Danio rerio: one gene and its partners. The main gene of each other region encodes a partner of the protein of the gene in region 2 in a complex. Links are inferred from orthologs where the notes say so. Each region holds a gene or a part of one and is shown on either strand. Other genes may lie near its edges.

Evidence for each region.
Region 1: nsmce4a (region 2) and smc5 share a complex: the UniProt entries of both Homo sapiens proteins name them as parts of the SMC5-SMC6 complex. The link is inferred for Danio rerio from reciprocal best matches to the Homo sapiens genes NSMCE4A and SMC5.
Region 3: nsmce4a (region 2) and nsmce1 share a complex: the UniProt entries of both Homo sapiens proteins name them as parts of the SMC5-SMC6 complex. The link is inferred for Danio rerio from reciprocal best matches to the Homo sapiens genes NSMCE4A and NSMCE1.
Region 4: nsmce4a (region 2) and nsmce2 share a complex: the UniProt entries of both Homo sapiens proteins name them as parts of the SMC5-SMC6 complex. The link is inferred for Danio rerio from reciprocal best matches to the Homo sapiens genes NSMCE4A and NSMCE2.

Annotation. Positions count from the first base shown.
Region 1 is NC_133185.1:17,911,716-17,915,289, reverse strand, and holds part of smc5 (structural maintenance of chromosomes protein 5), read left to right. Parts: intron 1-58; coding exon 59-191; intron 192-3,469; coding exon 3,470-3,574. UniProt on the Homo sapiens protein: Core component of the SMC5-SMC6 complex, a complex involved in repair of DNA double-strand breaks by homologous recombination.
Region 2 is NC_133188.1:32,177,672-32,181,245, reverse strand, and holds part of nsmce4a (non-structural maintenance of chromosomes element 4 homolog A), read right to left. Parts: intron 2,358-3,574; coding exon 2,258-2,357; intron 2,174-2,257; coding exon 2,083-2,173; intron 1,687-2,082; coding exon 1,592-1,686; intron 1,506-1,591; coding exon 1,460-1,505; intron 1,369-1,459; coding exon 1,283-1,368; intron 1-1,282. UniProt on the Homo sapiens protein: Component of the SMC5-SMC6 complex, a complex involved in DNA double-strand breaks by homologous recombination. The complex may promote sister chromatid homologous recombination by recruiting the SMC1-SMC3 cohesin complex to double-strand breaks.
Region 3 is NC_133178.1:43,211,245-43,214,818, reverse strand, and holds part of nsmce1 (non-structural maintenance of chromosomes element 1 homolog), read right to left. Parts: intron 3,253-3,574; coding exon 3,140-3,252; intron 2,959-3,139; coding exon 2,881-2,958; intron 2,258-2,880; coding exon 2,111-2,257; intron 471-2,110; coding exon 354-470; intron 86-353; coding exon 1-85. UniProt on the Homo sapiens protein: RING-type zinc finger-containing E3 ubiquitin ligase that assembles with melanoma antigen protein (MAGE) to catalyze the direct transfer of ubiquitin from E2 ubiquitin-conjugating enzyme to a specific substrate.
Region 4 is NC_133191.1:26,962,785-26,965,808, forward strand, and holds part of nsmce2 (E3 SUMO-protein ligase NSE2), read left to right. Parts: intron 1-1,446; coding exon 1,447-1,559; intron 1,560-1,637; coding exon 1,638-1,791; intron 1,792-1,928; coding exon 1,929-2,020; intron 2,021-2,109; coding exon 2,110-2,216; intron 2,217-3,024. UniProt on the Homo sapiens protein: E3 SUMO-protein ligase component of the SMC5-SMC6 complex, a complex involved in DNA double-strand break repair by homologous recombination. Is not be required for the stability of the complex.

The DNA of each region.
Region 1 (3,574 bases), on a different chromosome or scaffold from region 2:
TTTTTTTTACTACATTTAGAGTTTATGTGTTTAATGTTTTTTTTATTATTTTTTGCAGGCCTTACGGCTTCATCTCGTACTTGCGAGAGATGTTTGATGCTCCTGAGGAGGTTATGAGTTATTTATGCCATCAGTACAGAGTTAACGATGTACCAATAGGAACAGAGAAGACCAAGGGCATGATTGAATCGGTTGGTTCTCCTTTGATAAAAAAGTGATGTATAGCTGAAAGCAGAGTAATATACTTTAAATTAATTCATTATGGTGGCGCAGAGGTGCCGTAGGTAGTGCTGTCGCCTCACAGCAAGAAGGTCGCTGGTTCGAGCCTCGGCTGGGTCAGTTGGCGTTTCTGAACGGAGTTTGCATGTTTTCCCTGCATTCGTGTGGGTTTCTTCCGGGTGCTCTGGTTTCCCCCACAGTCCAAAGACACAGGGGTGATAGCGTTCCGGCACCACGCCGGATTTCCGGCGTACTGTGGCTGCGGGGAAAAAAAAATCAGGTTCACGGATATTGATCTGTCATTTCTCTAGATTCACAGAATTCACTCACTGCTACTGATTAATTGTGTAATTTAGAGAGCTTTATAAATTTTAACAGATCTTTGTGAGATCTCTATGAACTAAGATTAGTGACGCTTTTTAGTGATAATAAGAGGAGCTGCTTTGCACTTTCCAGGCTATAATCCATTCAGAATTTGTATGAAACTTTCGTTTTCGGCACATATACGCTGATATGTTTTGGGAATGACATCTGCATATTTACGCTGGGTTTATTCTCGAAATAACGGTGAAGAAATAGACGGGACAAAAATATATTTCCCCCTTCTCCTTAAACAACTTAGTGTTTCAGCTATGAAAGAGGTCAGTTTTGTATGTAGCCTAATGGCAAAGTGTTTATATTTAGTTTCGTTTTTTATTCGGCTTATTTAGAAAAACGTTTGGAGCATTTTTTATTCGTTAAAAATAAGTTTTTTTTTAACGAACAGCGCCCAGCGGAAGACCATCGTTGTCTGTTTGATCAGTTTGCCTTCTCAGATCATCACGACTTGCCTAAAATAAAAGATATAAAACAGTTCAAGTATAAAACAATGGTAGCTTAAACGTTAAAGAATGTGTGCTATTAGGCGCATAGTTTGCTTATAAAAAGCTTGCAGGACATCGAGGCGCCAGAGTAATCACTTGCGTTTTTTTAGTGGGAGCAATTTAAAGTTATCCGTCATTTTTGCTCACAAAGTACGAGTAATACATCAAAGAACGTTACAGCGTTTTTATAAAATAAAGAAAACCAAAATTATGCGCTTTCTGTCGTCTGGTTTTTGAACAGGAGCGCTTAACAAAATGAAGCAAAATGTATATGCCTCCCAGACATAATAAATATATTTATAGAAAGCTTTAAATTATTACTTAACGAAATAAAACAAATCGAAAACAAAAAAACTCCTTCATGTAATCCGTAAAGATGAACTTCTCTCTAAAGGCGAGTCCAAGAGGAGATTGCCAGTCAGGATCTTTGCGACACTGACTCAGAATAAGTTTATTCATAAATAATTAAGATATGTCCTTACTCTTTCCTCGATACATTCATTGTTATTTGTTTTTGCCGGTGCTTGGGGCGAGTTTTAGCTTATTGTGTGCGCTTGAACGCGGATTCACAGTAGCAGTTTTAACATGGAGTGACACGACATCTGACGTACAGATGACACTGGCACATGCCACTGAGTGTAGTGACACTTCCGGTGGCACGTCCGTTTTTCCACTGTCATGTGTCACTCGCTAGTGGCATGTGTAGTGACCTGTGTCACTCAGAGTGTCGCGCTGCATGTCACTGCAGTGACATCGACACCCGGCGAAGCTTATGACATTAATTAACACGAGCAAAACCATATTTAATCATTAAGCGACATTTAACCTAATTTATCGCATCGCAAGTTAGTTTATTTGCTGAGCTACTCCACGATGTTTTAATTTAAACGCATTTATTTTATGTATTCGTAGTCATACTTCCGTACGTAATATAGTCATTTGACAGTACATGTCAGTCAAATTTATTGTGGCATGCTTATGGGAGGGGTTACACTTATCTGTTGTACTGTATACTATTGCATCCTGGCAGTTCCTTTGTTCCCTACAATATGGACTTCTCTATGTTTTTAATTCATTCATTTATTTTATTATTTAACTTATTTTCATTTTAAGGTATTTTAAATAATATCCTATAAAAAGTTATAATAAAATGCATGTTGAAAACTCATAACATATATGCATGTAAGATAACAGGTGTCATTTGCCTAATGATTTTTAAATATTAAAGCAAAGAGACTTATAAGATTAATGTGCTTATAACGTGCTTATACTGACACCTACTGGCACATGTCACAAGATCACTGACACTGGCATGTGTCACTGACATAACTGGCATGTGTCTAAAAAGAGCCACTTGACAATAATGATGATCAGGGTTACACATAGGCTGTTAATATATTTGGGCCCAGGGGCCCACAAGTTATGTGTTAAAAGTGCGTTGCATACATAGTACCCCCACCCCTACTCACCTCAGGGGCAAGGAAAAAAAGTTCAGGGTCAGGAATTTTTTCCACTATCAGCCCTGAAGACATGTGGTACAGGTGAATTGGGTAGGCTAAATTGTCCGTAGTTTATGAGTGTGAATGATTATGTGTGGATGTTTCCCAGAGATTAATTGCGGCTGGAAGGGCATCCGCTGCGTAAAAAGATGCTGGATAAGTTGGCGGTTCATTCTGATGCCCCAGTATAGTGAAGGTGACACGGGCGCCGTCTTTCAGATGAGACGCTAAAACGAAGGTTCTGACTCTCTGGTTATTAAAAATTCCATAGGATTTCCCGTAAAGAGTAGGGGAGCAAACCCCGGTGCCCTGGCCAAATTTTCTCCTTTGGCCCATCATGGCCTCCCAATCATCCACTCTATCAATATCAGGTGTGGTGAGCACACTGATGCTGTTGTCCTTTGTTTGCCGTCGCATCATCCAAGTTGATGCTGGACACAGAGGGGGGGGGGGGAGGTGGGGGTTGGGGGGTGGGGGGGGTACAGAGATGGCCTCAAGATTGTGAAGCGCTTTTGTGTGCATTTATACACAATAAATGTGCTATATAAATACATTAAATGACATTAGATTATACTGGGTTATTAAAAAGCTCTTATTACTTATGAGAGGTCTTCAGTTTACTTGATGCACATATTTAGATATAACTGGTCAGAATAGTGGGCATGGACTATAGTAAGATTCGTTATTTCCAAACACAGCTATTTAGGGCATCATGTGAACATTCTATGCAGTTTTCATTGTAAATATTTAGTTCTAATAATCTAGTTTATTAAACTTGCTTATTGATTAATGAAAAGTAAATAAATCAAACATATGGAAGCAGTAATCAATTTTTGTGAGTAAATTGACAATTTTTTTAATGTTTACACTTGTTTACACCTGTGGCAGGTGATCAAAGACCTTCAGTTGAGAACGATTTACACAGCGGAGGAGAGGTATAATGTGAAGAAGTCTGCTTACTCCAATAATGTGGTCTCCAGTAACTCGGCTCTG
Region 2 (3,574 bases):
CTCATCAGCATAACAGATTTAAAACATGTTACAACTGAAGTTTATTTATTTATTTATTTATTTATTATTGCGAATTGTACTCTGTCTTTTTCTTTGTCCCGCCTTCTTGTTGTTTTTCTGTTGTCTCATAGGCTCCCATACAAGCGTGATCTTGAGTTCTGATTGGCTGCTGGTCAGGGAGGCATGTATAAAAAGGAGCTTCCGGCAGGGTTCGGGGAGCTCATTTCTGCTGTGTTCGGTGCTTGGAGTGGAGCTCCTGGATTTCCCTCACCCCTCTGGCCGACGACCAACAACCATTATTGTACTAATGTTCATACGTTAAAATATTTTGAGAGTTTGAGCGTGTAGGGGTGGCCTGCCTATTTATTTGATTACTTTTGACTATGTTTATGTTTAGGGAGTAAGGTAAGCTTCTTGTATTTTTCTTTAAATAGTTATAGGTAATTTAGTGCATTTACTTTATAGATTCTTTTGTTTGTTATTTTGGCCTGTGGTCACCCTAAAGAGATGCTCATTTATATTAACCACATTTTTCTATAATAAATCTATTCATATATACTCTCAACTGAGTGTCTGAGTTTGGTTGTCGACCGAAGGGAGTCTTTTTGCATTAAGTTTTTGTTTTGTTTGAGAAATCCACCACCCCAACACATTTGTTTTTCTTCGTTTATTATGCCCATGTTGTTTCCCCAAGACTTTGGGCGTAATAAAACAGAACTAATATTATTTTTGTTTAAAACTGAAAATGCTAAAAAAATTGACTCTGAAGAAAGTCGTCTATGGAGACTACGGTGTTCATTTGTGCGTCCTAAAACTCTACATTTATAATGCCTCTTAGTCACTGACATTATCATCCACAGGTATGGTGTGAAAACTTATGCCAGATGGCTGCTTCTTGCTCAGGTCTATTTATGCTAATGAGGTAGAGGTCGTCACTAATAGATGTAGTTTAAAGTGTTTCTGCACTTTTTCAGTTGTGATTATAAAAATATTATTCATTAATTTTTATCATACGAGGCTGGATATACTCATGCACAGTCACCACACAACTTTGTTCAAACTCCTTATAAAAGTGATTTTTGCACAATAGGTCTCCTCAAAGTATAGAGAAATGCTACTTTACTGCATTAACTTAATATGGTTAGGGTTAGGATTGGGGTCAGTTGCATATAATTATGAATTAATTATTTTTATTACAAAAGTAAGTACATGAAACGTGTAACAAGCACACTAAAATAAAAGTGATGCCAAAAGAAATGCTAAAAACAGTTAAAGCGCTCACCCTCCAGCTTTCCTGGCTGATCGAGATGACACACTGATGTCGAATGGCAGCGCCACCAGGCTGTATCTCACCTTCCTCTACTGGAGCTACAATACAAGCACAAATATTACAGCCTGCAAGTACATTTAGACAAACAAACAAAAAAAATACAACAGTGACTTAAGGATGCGATCTAACCTATATAAGGAAGCCCATTCTCCAAGTACATCCTCGCCAGACCATCCTAAAAGTAATAAATAAAAAGTGATTTAATTCGTTATTGTGTGACTTGTGTTGAATGTTCAAGGCCAATGTAGCGTTTAAACTCACTCTAATTAGAAAAGACATGTGGAAGATGTTCTCCACCGTTCGTGAGAAGGAGTTAGGGTCGATGACGAACTCGTAATATGAAATGGGCTCCTCGGCTGTTCCAGAGAGAGAGAGTTTTTGAGTTTAATGCCTTATCAGCTTTTCTGGCTATGTCATGGCAAAAAGAACAGATCAAGTTCACAACATTTAACAAATATTACTTTTCTATAATTATACAAATATTTTAACAATAAAAGGTTATCAACATCATAAAATAATATAAAAAGATAAAATACATTATTATTATTATTATTAATATTATTAATAATAATAATGATAATAATAATAATAATAATAATAATAATAATAATAATAATAATAATAATAATAATAATACAAGATTAAAAAAAATCTAAAACTGTTTTTTAGGGTTTACTTTTGATAAAAAATTGTACAATTTTGGAAAGACTCTGATAGTGGGAAGCTGATAGTTAGCAGCTTAACATGCTTACAGTCATCTCTAAAGTATCTTTGCAGACATCCAAGAATCCTTTCCACCTCTTTCTCAGTTGCCTCCTGGTGAGATTCTTCCATTTTCTTCAGCTGTGATGATAAGGTATTTTTTTAATTTCTTAAAAACAGGTATTTTGGGGAGACAGTCAAGTGTTTGCATTATAATAAGCAGACCTGGGTGGGCATAATCCGTTTCTCCTCTCTGCTGGGCACTCTTCTTTGCCTTTCAACTCTCTGCCGTGGAGGAGGAGGCTCTGCCAAAAATGAGCCCAACCTTGAATATCAAATAACAAAACGTGTTGAATAATAATAATAAGAGACTATAAGAGGTAACTGATTTATAGTTTAAGTACGAAGAGATAACTTCATAAAAATCACTGTAAACTATATTTAAATATTTTTATTTGCACCAAAATGTAAAAAAAAATTACAATTTATTTGATCTGAGACTGTGAAGATAAAAATAATTGTGATATTACTGACCAAAAAGAAATATTAAAAATGAGTTTTAAAACTACATAATGACATCTGTGGAGGAAAAAACAGCAATGTGAAGTCAAAATGATGTCAAAGTTTATGACTTTTCAATTATACAGTTGGTACAGAAAGTATTGCCCAGAGGAGGATCCCCAAACGCAGGTCTGAAAAACTTGTTCAATCTTTTCCAAAAACACTCATGGCTGGTAGGGGTGTAACGATACACCAAAGTCACGGTTCGGTTTGGTTCACGGTTTTGGAGCCACCGTTCAGTTCCTGTTTGCTGTGGGGTTAGGGTTGATGTCATGTTAACAGCAATGCTAAGGAACAATAGATTCACTTAATAACAAGAAAAACTAAACTTTTTTCTTTATTAACTTTGCAATCACATTTTAGTACAGTCAGGATACCCGAGTAAACAACTAAAATTATAAATACCTCCAATATAGACTAGTCAGAAAAAACTATTTTCTTTAGTGCAGCCATCTTAACTAAGTAAACTAAAATTAAATAAATAACTGCAGTGTAGACTAGTGAAAGATCTTCTTCAAAAACACCATAATATCCACATTCTCAGGTGAGAGGCTTGATCTCTGTGCAGACACAGACATGATGGTCATTTTTGATTATTTAAGGTTTCAGTTAGATAGATAGGTTTCTGTTTAAATTAATTTAAAAATATACATATAATGTGTTTGTAAAGTGTTTTTACATGACATATTTACCAGCAAAATACATTGCAGTTGTGACTGAAACTAATGTTAGGGTTGTAGCCGGCTGTATTTTTGCCTCCTGATCTCTCTTTCTCCCATTCCCTCCATGCTGGTCATTTATGTAGGTCCGCCTTCACGACAGCTGATGCCTGTCATTTCTGTAGGTCCGCCTTCATGACAGCTGATTGGTCAGGAGACCGATCTATCATCATTTGGAGAAGTAGCGCGGGAATATAAAAAGCATGTCAGGAAGAGCGGTATTTTTCTCACATGATTGTTTTTGCTTAACTTTCGGTTGGGC
Region 3 (3,574 bases), on a different chromosome or scaffold from region 2:
GAGGATCACTGCGTGCTCTGAAATATCGAGCGACACAGGGAAGGTGCACCTTGATTTCACATGATGGATTTTCACATACCTGGCACTGAAAGAAAAGCATTTTGTTTGGCATGTCTGAAAATGGCATAAAAGTGTGTAACTTTTGTGTCACTAGGTCTACACAAATACAGTATAAATTTCACTGAATGTAGTGTAAGTGATAATAGTACACTATTAAGCAAGAAACAGTATGACATAAAAACAATCACTAAGCATGTACTGTTCTTTAATGATGTCTGGAATTAAAAATCAAATAATCTTATGCCTGTTTTTTTGTCATGAATGAAGGTTCATGATCTTTACTCGTTTATTACCTGTAGGGCGATGTTGTGGCACACGTAGCACACTTTGATCATGTCCTGGTAAATTGTGCGCATATATGGCTCCATTTCCACAATGCAGCGAACACTTAGAGTGTACTCACCATCTTGCTAATGCAGAAAAAAGCAGAACAAAAATAATGCTTTTGAAAAAAGAGCGACTTGTTGCCAAATATAAATTTAAATACAATAGAAACTGTAAAACATGTACAGATCAAAATGATTAGCTCTCCCATGACACTGTAAATCTTCTTCAAATAATTCCTCACTGCTTTTTAATGCAGAGAATTTTTAACATTTAATGGTATTAATAACTAATTTTTAATAGCTTACTTTAGTTGTTTGTGCCTTAATGACGGTTCATATTTTTCTATATATATATAAAACAGTTCTGTCTGCTTCTCAAATTTGATTGGATGACAGCCATACAATATTCCCGTAATAACAGCACTAGTACAGCCTGTAGTAGCTCTCCATTGCCGCTAATGTTGGTAGAGCAAGCAAGTTTTTTTATGCGTAAAAGTCAGAGTCTGTAGTCAAAATAGATGCAAATAACAACGTCTTAATTTTTCAATTAACAGAATTCCTTCATCAATTTTCCTTAATCTATTATGCACACTTCTCTGTTACTTTAAGTTACATTACATTAAGTTACGGTCAAAAACTGTGTGCTTCCAACCAACGCTCTCTTCCCCCATGCAGTGAAGCCACAGTTATATAGTCTGGTACTGACACCTTGTGGCTAATCGGCAATATATACTGTATGGCTCCTACACAGCCTATATATATATTACTAAGTATATTATTATATAATATACTTAGGCTATATTATATATTACGGAGTATATTACTCCGCCCACATACAGGGACAGCAGATGAATAAACTCACTACAGTGTGACAAATATTGCAGCTGTTGGACAACATAATGTACTTTTGAAGCTTTTTAAGCGAGAATGTAGTTTTTTAGATTACAACTATGCAGTTTAAAAGTAAAGTGCCTGTTTTAAATATTTATAATTTCAGAGATTCAGCATGTTCGCCTGTCATACTGAGCAGAGCAAAGACAGTTGACGTTCCACCACAACATGGCGACAGAGACTGCATAATAAGCCCTTAGATGAGAAAAACTCAGCATAAATTTCAAACCACAGCTTATCAAATTTGACTAAACAATAACACGGCAATAAAACTGGTAAGTGACATTAAGTCAATCTCTCTCTTTTGTATCTTGTAGTGCTGATATTGGGAAATCTCTGTAGACTGATGGCATTTAATGCGTTCAGCTTTATAATCTTAAAATATTAGCAAAATCAACTGTTTAGTCATCACTTTAGACATTACGCTAGAGAATCGTTCAAACACTAACTCAAGTGACCTTTGTGAAGCAGCAATGGTTCTGATGCTGCAGATCTGATTAAATGGCAGAAGAAAAGACGTTCTTCATACAAAAGGATTTATGAGACTCTCCGTGTTTAATTTTTTTCTTTTATATACATAATTATGCTGTCAAACTGTTGTATAATTGCAATATTACACTCGTAGCAGTGCAATATAGCTGTATATTGACACTAAAGCACTCGGCTTGTGGCCTTGAGCCAACACATGTCTCCCACAAGTGCCGTTATAGAGCCATATCGCACTGCTACTCATGTGATATTGTCCATATATATATATATATATATATATATATATATATATATATATATATATATATATATATATATATATATATAAAAATAATAAAGTGTACCTCTTTTAACCATTTGTCTTGTACAAATTTATTTAAGACTAGCTCTGCTTCTTTCTTCTTTAATTTCTTTGAGATCAGCTTGTCAGCAGAATTTAGAATTGCTGTGGATGAGGCAGAACCGGAATCAGACTCCACAATCAGATCCATCTGAATAAAGACAAAACAGGAAATCATTAGAAACCATTTATTCAATGACCAACGTTTTTTATGTTTTTTTTTTAAATGTTTTCTATTTAAATGTATTTTAAAATGTAATTTATTTCTGTGATGGCAGCGCTAAATTTCATTCAGTTCCCAGTTCCAGTATCACATGATCATTCAGAAACAGTTCTAAGATCAGACTCAAATTTCCACAATTTGCTGCAGACTGCCGAGACAAGATATACTATACCATAATAAAATAGGTTTGTAATAAGTAATTCTACATACAAAATGCATTTTGTGAACTGTGAATAATAAATTAATAGTCAGCAGTTAAAAATGAATCTTTCCAATAGTTAAATTACATGGATTTGCTGCACAGTTATTAAAAATTAAACATTAAATTTTTAACACTTAGAATACTACTAATAACAATACTGAACAGCAAATCAGTATTAAAATAATGTGATGGATCTTGTGACTCTAAAGGCTGAAGTAATAATGCCAAACTAGAACTTATTTTCTGCATCACAAAAAAAAAAAATACAATTTTAAAATGTATTCAATATGCACTAATATTTGTATATTAATATATAAAATAGTATTTGACAAATATTATAAGTATTTACTATTTTTCTGAACAACTCCAACTCGTTCTCCGCATAATCAGCAGCCATTCGTGTAATGTCGGTCTCTGCCATATTTACCTGAACAACAGATTAGGTTTTAACTTAATATAAATCAAACACATATGTCATTTTACTATTATATATTAGTAGTATGCAAAAACAATAATCAAAATTAATATCTAACACATTTACTGAGTAGACACTAGAAAACATAAAAACACCTCTCCTTAAACATAAATGTATTTTAGATTTAACAAACCAAAACAAAATGTTCCTGGCCATCCTCCTCCGACATCCCTTTACGAATATGCATAAAGAGGGGCTGAAGGTGAGTGTTGACAACATTGATGAAATCATCAATTTTTTCTTGCCCTAGAATACAACAGAGAAACAGAATTTAAAGAGAGCACTCGTATCTAAATACAGTAGCTGATATTCAGTTTGCAGCTATGAGGCATAGAAACAACCATGGGCGTTGCTAGGCCTATTTTAAGGGGGCTGTAACCCTCCTATATTTTTAGTCAGCCCCCCTAAAACTTTTGAAATTAGCTCATAAACTACACTAAATTATCGCCTCAGTACCCTTTTAAATTTGATATGAAAATGGCGGCAGAATTTATCTCCTCCCTGTCTTTTGTTTTTCATTTGATCAGCAAATCACAGGAGTGGACAGCGAGAAAATGAGGTGTGTGTT
Region 4 (3,024 bases), on a different chromosome or scaffold from region 2:
ACTGACCCCAAACTTTTGACCAGTTGTGTATAGAATATTTTATAAGCAAAAATGTGCACTTTAATTTTAACAACCCACAGACATCGTCACCGAATATAAAGCAGAGGTCAGACTTTCTCATATATACAGAGCCTCATTTCAATTTTCAGGTTTTGTAAAAATCGATCTATTAAATTAATCAATCTATTAAAGAAACGTTGGCTAGAATTCTGCATGATAGGCTTAAATTATAGAGAGACATAGCAGATGAACCGAGACTGCATCAGATCAATGTTAATCTTTCTTTCGAGCTGTCAGTGCGGAAATGAACAAAACAACGGGCCTAATACAACATATTATACAATTAAAATATAGAAAAATTAACAGATAGTAATTTCGGTCAATTTTCCTGACGGATAAACCGAGATCAGGCTTTATAAACAGCTCTCGGTAATATTTCAGCATGCTTTCACTCGCATTTACCGGTAAGAATGACATCTGGCCCTGCTCATCATTTTCTCTTCATATAGCCGTATATATGGCTATTACACGATCATAATACACTGTGATATAGCCTGGGTCGTTAGTTCGTTGCATTGTTTTGTTTTCTCACTACAATCCATCCGCTCAATAGGGCAGAGATCGTCTCATTCAGGCAATCTCAGACTGATTGATTTGGCGCGGATGCGAGCGCAACTGCTGGATATATGCCACACAAACTAACGGGGGAAACGAGACAGATTCCGAAACAAACGTCTATGTGTGAAAGCACCGTAAGATTATATTTGCACACAATTGACAGACAGTTGCAGCACGCAGCTCTGGCTCAATCTGTCAGTCAACAAGGCAGCACTGTACACTGACCCGAGCATCTCGCACACTGGCTCCGGGCTATCGGGCAGTCCTTTTTGTCGAGCGCTGATGGTTTAAGCTCTGACGATGGGTCTCCTGCGTCTGCACAGTTTAACAAGCACTTCAACAAGCGTGTTTTTTCCCGCTTGGCAAGCCAAGCTGACGTGACATGGGGCGTGGCAGCATCGACGATTCTATTTTTTGATTTGATAATCGAAATCGAGCATAAATTTCGATCGATTTTCAATTAAAATCGAAATCGTGACACCCTTATGTATAATATACATTATTATTAATAACATTGGAGTAGCTTATACATCAGTGCACAGTGCTTATGTATGTGTACAATATACTGACACTGAGGAGAAAAAACATGATTAAAGTTGTTATTTTTGTTTTAATGTGCGCATAAAAGTATTATCATAGCTTTTTTTTTTTTAGAAATAACCACTGAAGGAATATGTTTTGAGGATATTTTTATAACAATTTGGAAACATTACTGTCTGTGGAGGATAAGAGAGCTCCCAGATTTCACCTAAAATATCTTACTTTGTGTAATCAATAACATCATTTTTATATTTGGGTGAACTAACCCTTTAAGGTTTTTCATTTCAGGTATGGAAAACAGCCCATCTCTGAAGAAACTGGGGGAGATGATTATGGAGTGCTCCAGACTAGACAGTGAAATCAACTGTTTAGTGGAGTCCGTTAATGAAATGACTGCTCAGGTCTGTCTTATCTAACTAAAATCCTTCCACATTCACCAGCCAAGCCAGCGGGATGACTGTCTCTCACATGTTCTGTAGGTCAGACATGCACCTCCAGAGGCCATGGTTAATCTGAGAGGCTCTGTAAAGGACCGCTTCACTGAGCTGATCGCTGGAGTTTCAGATTCAGACCTGCGAAATCACAGCAAGGTGGTTGCTTTCAAAGAGACAGTCAGGAAATATGCCATGCAAGGTTGGAAACCCAAAAGACCACAACATGTTCACAAATGACCCTGTATTTTACACATCACAATAATTCTAAATAAGGCTCAGTCATTAAGTCTAATAAGTGTGTGTGTGTGTGTGTGTATGTGTTTGCATATGCAACAGCTCAGAATCCTGCTGAGAATGAAGAGGAAGAGCTGGATGAGGACATTGCTGTAACACAGAGCCAGACGAACTTCATTTGCCCTCTCACGCAGGTACACACTAGCAGTGTTTAAATGCAAAGAGAACACATAAGAAACAGAAATGTTATGTTATTTTAATGTATAATTTTTTGTCCTGACAGGTTGAGATGGTCAATCCAATGAAAAACAAGAAATGCAATCATTACTATGACCAAGAGGCGGTGCTTGAAATGATTAAGAACAAGCACAAAAATAGGAAGAAATTTCGGTATGTAACCACTGCTCACTTCTGTCTTCATGGCATCTTAAATGAGTGTACAAATGCATGCAGCCTGTTTTAATATTAAAAAACAAAGCAGTGCTCTCAGATTGAACTTTTTAGATTAGCTAGCAGTTTCTCAATCCACTAATTAGAGCTGTGGTGAAAAATCATTCAAGAAATTGTTTCTGCGTTGATTCAGAGATTTTCAAAACGCATCGATATTCCTTCTTGAATCAATTCTGAGGTTATTTTTTTAACAGCAGACAGCTCTCTTGGCTAGTTTTTAACTGTACACTCACATGCTCATGAGGAAGAATGCCTGCGTGTTCAGCTGAGTCATGTTAACACAGCTCACTATGGACACCTATTTTACTTTTATAAGATGTACAAAAAGACTTTGGTGTCTCTAGAAGGTGCCTGTAGAATCGCAGCTCAAATTACCCATCAGATTATTTAGTATATAATGTAGAATCTGCCCATTTTTGGTGCTGAGGACTATGTAGTAGAGGTCTGCATTCCACGGGACCTGACCAGTTTTCTTGTGGCGCGGAAATAAATTTCTGAATAAAACCCTACTGCTTTGCACTACTGCCCTCTTTGGCAAGACGAGTACACAGTTATTTTTCATGCCAAAAAAAGCATCTAAATGTGAATGTGAGAGCGCACGCATCCTCTGTCGTGCTCTATGTGTTTGTGTGTGTGGGTGAATGAGAGCGTGCAAATCCACTGTGGTGCTCTTTGTGTGTGTATCGCTTGTAATAGCCTGACTGGACTCTGTAACATCCAGCTGGGTTTTTTGGGAGGCCTATTTAAC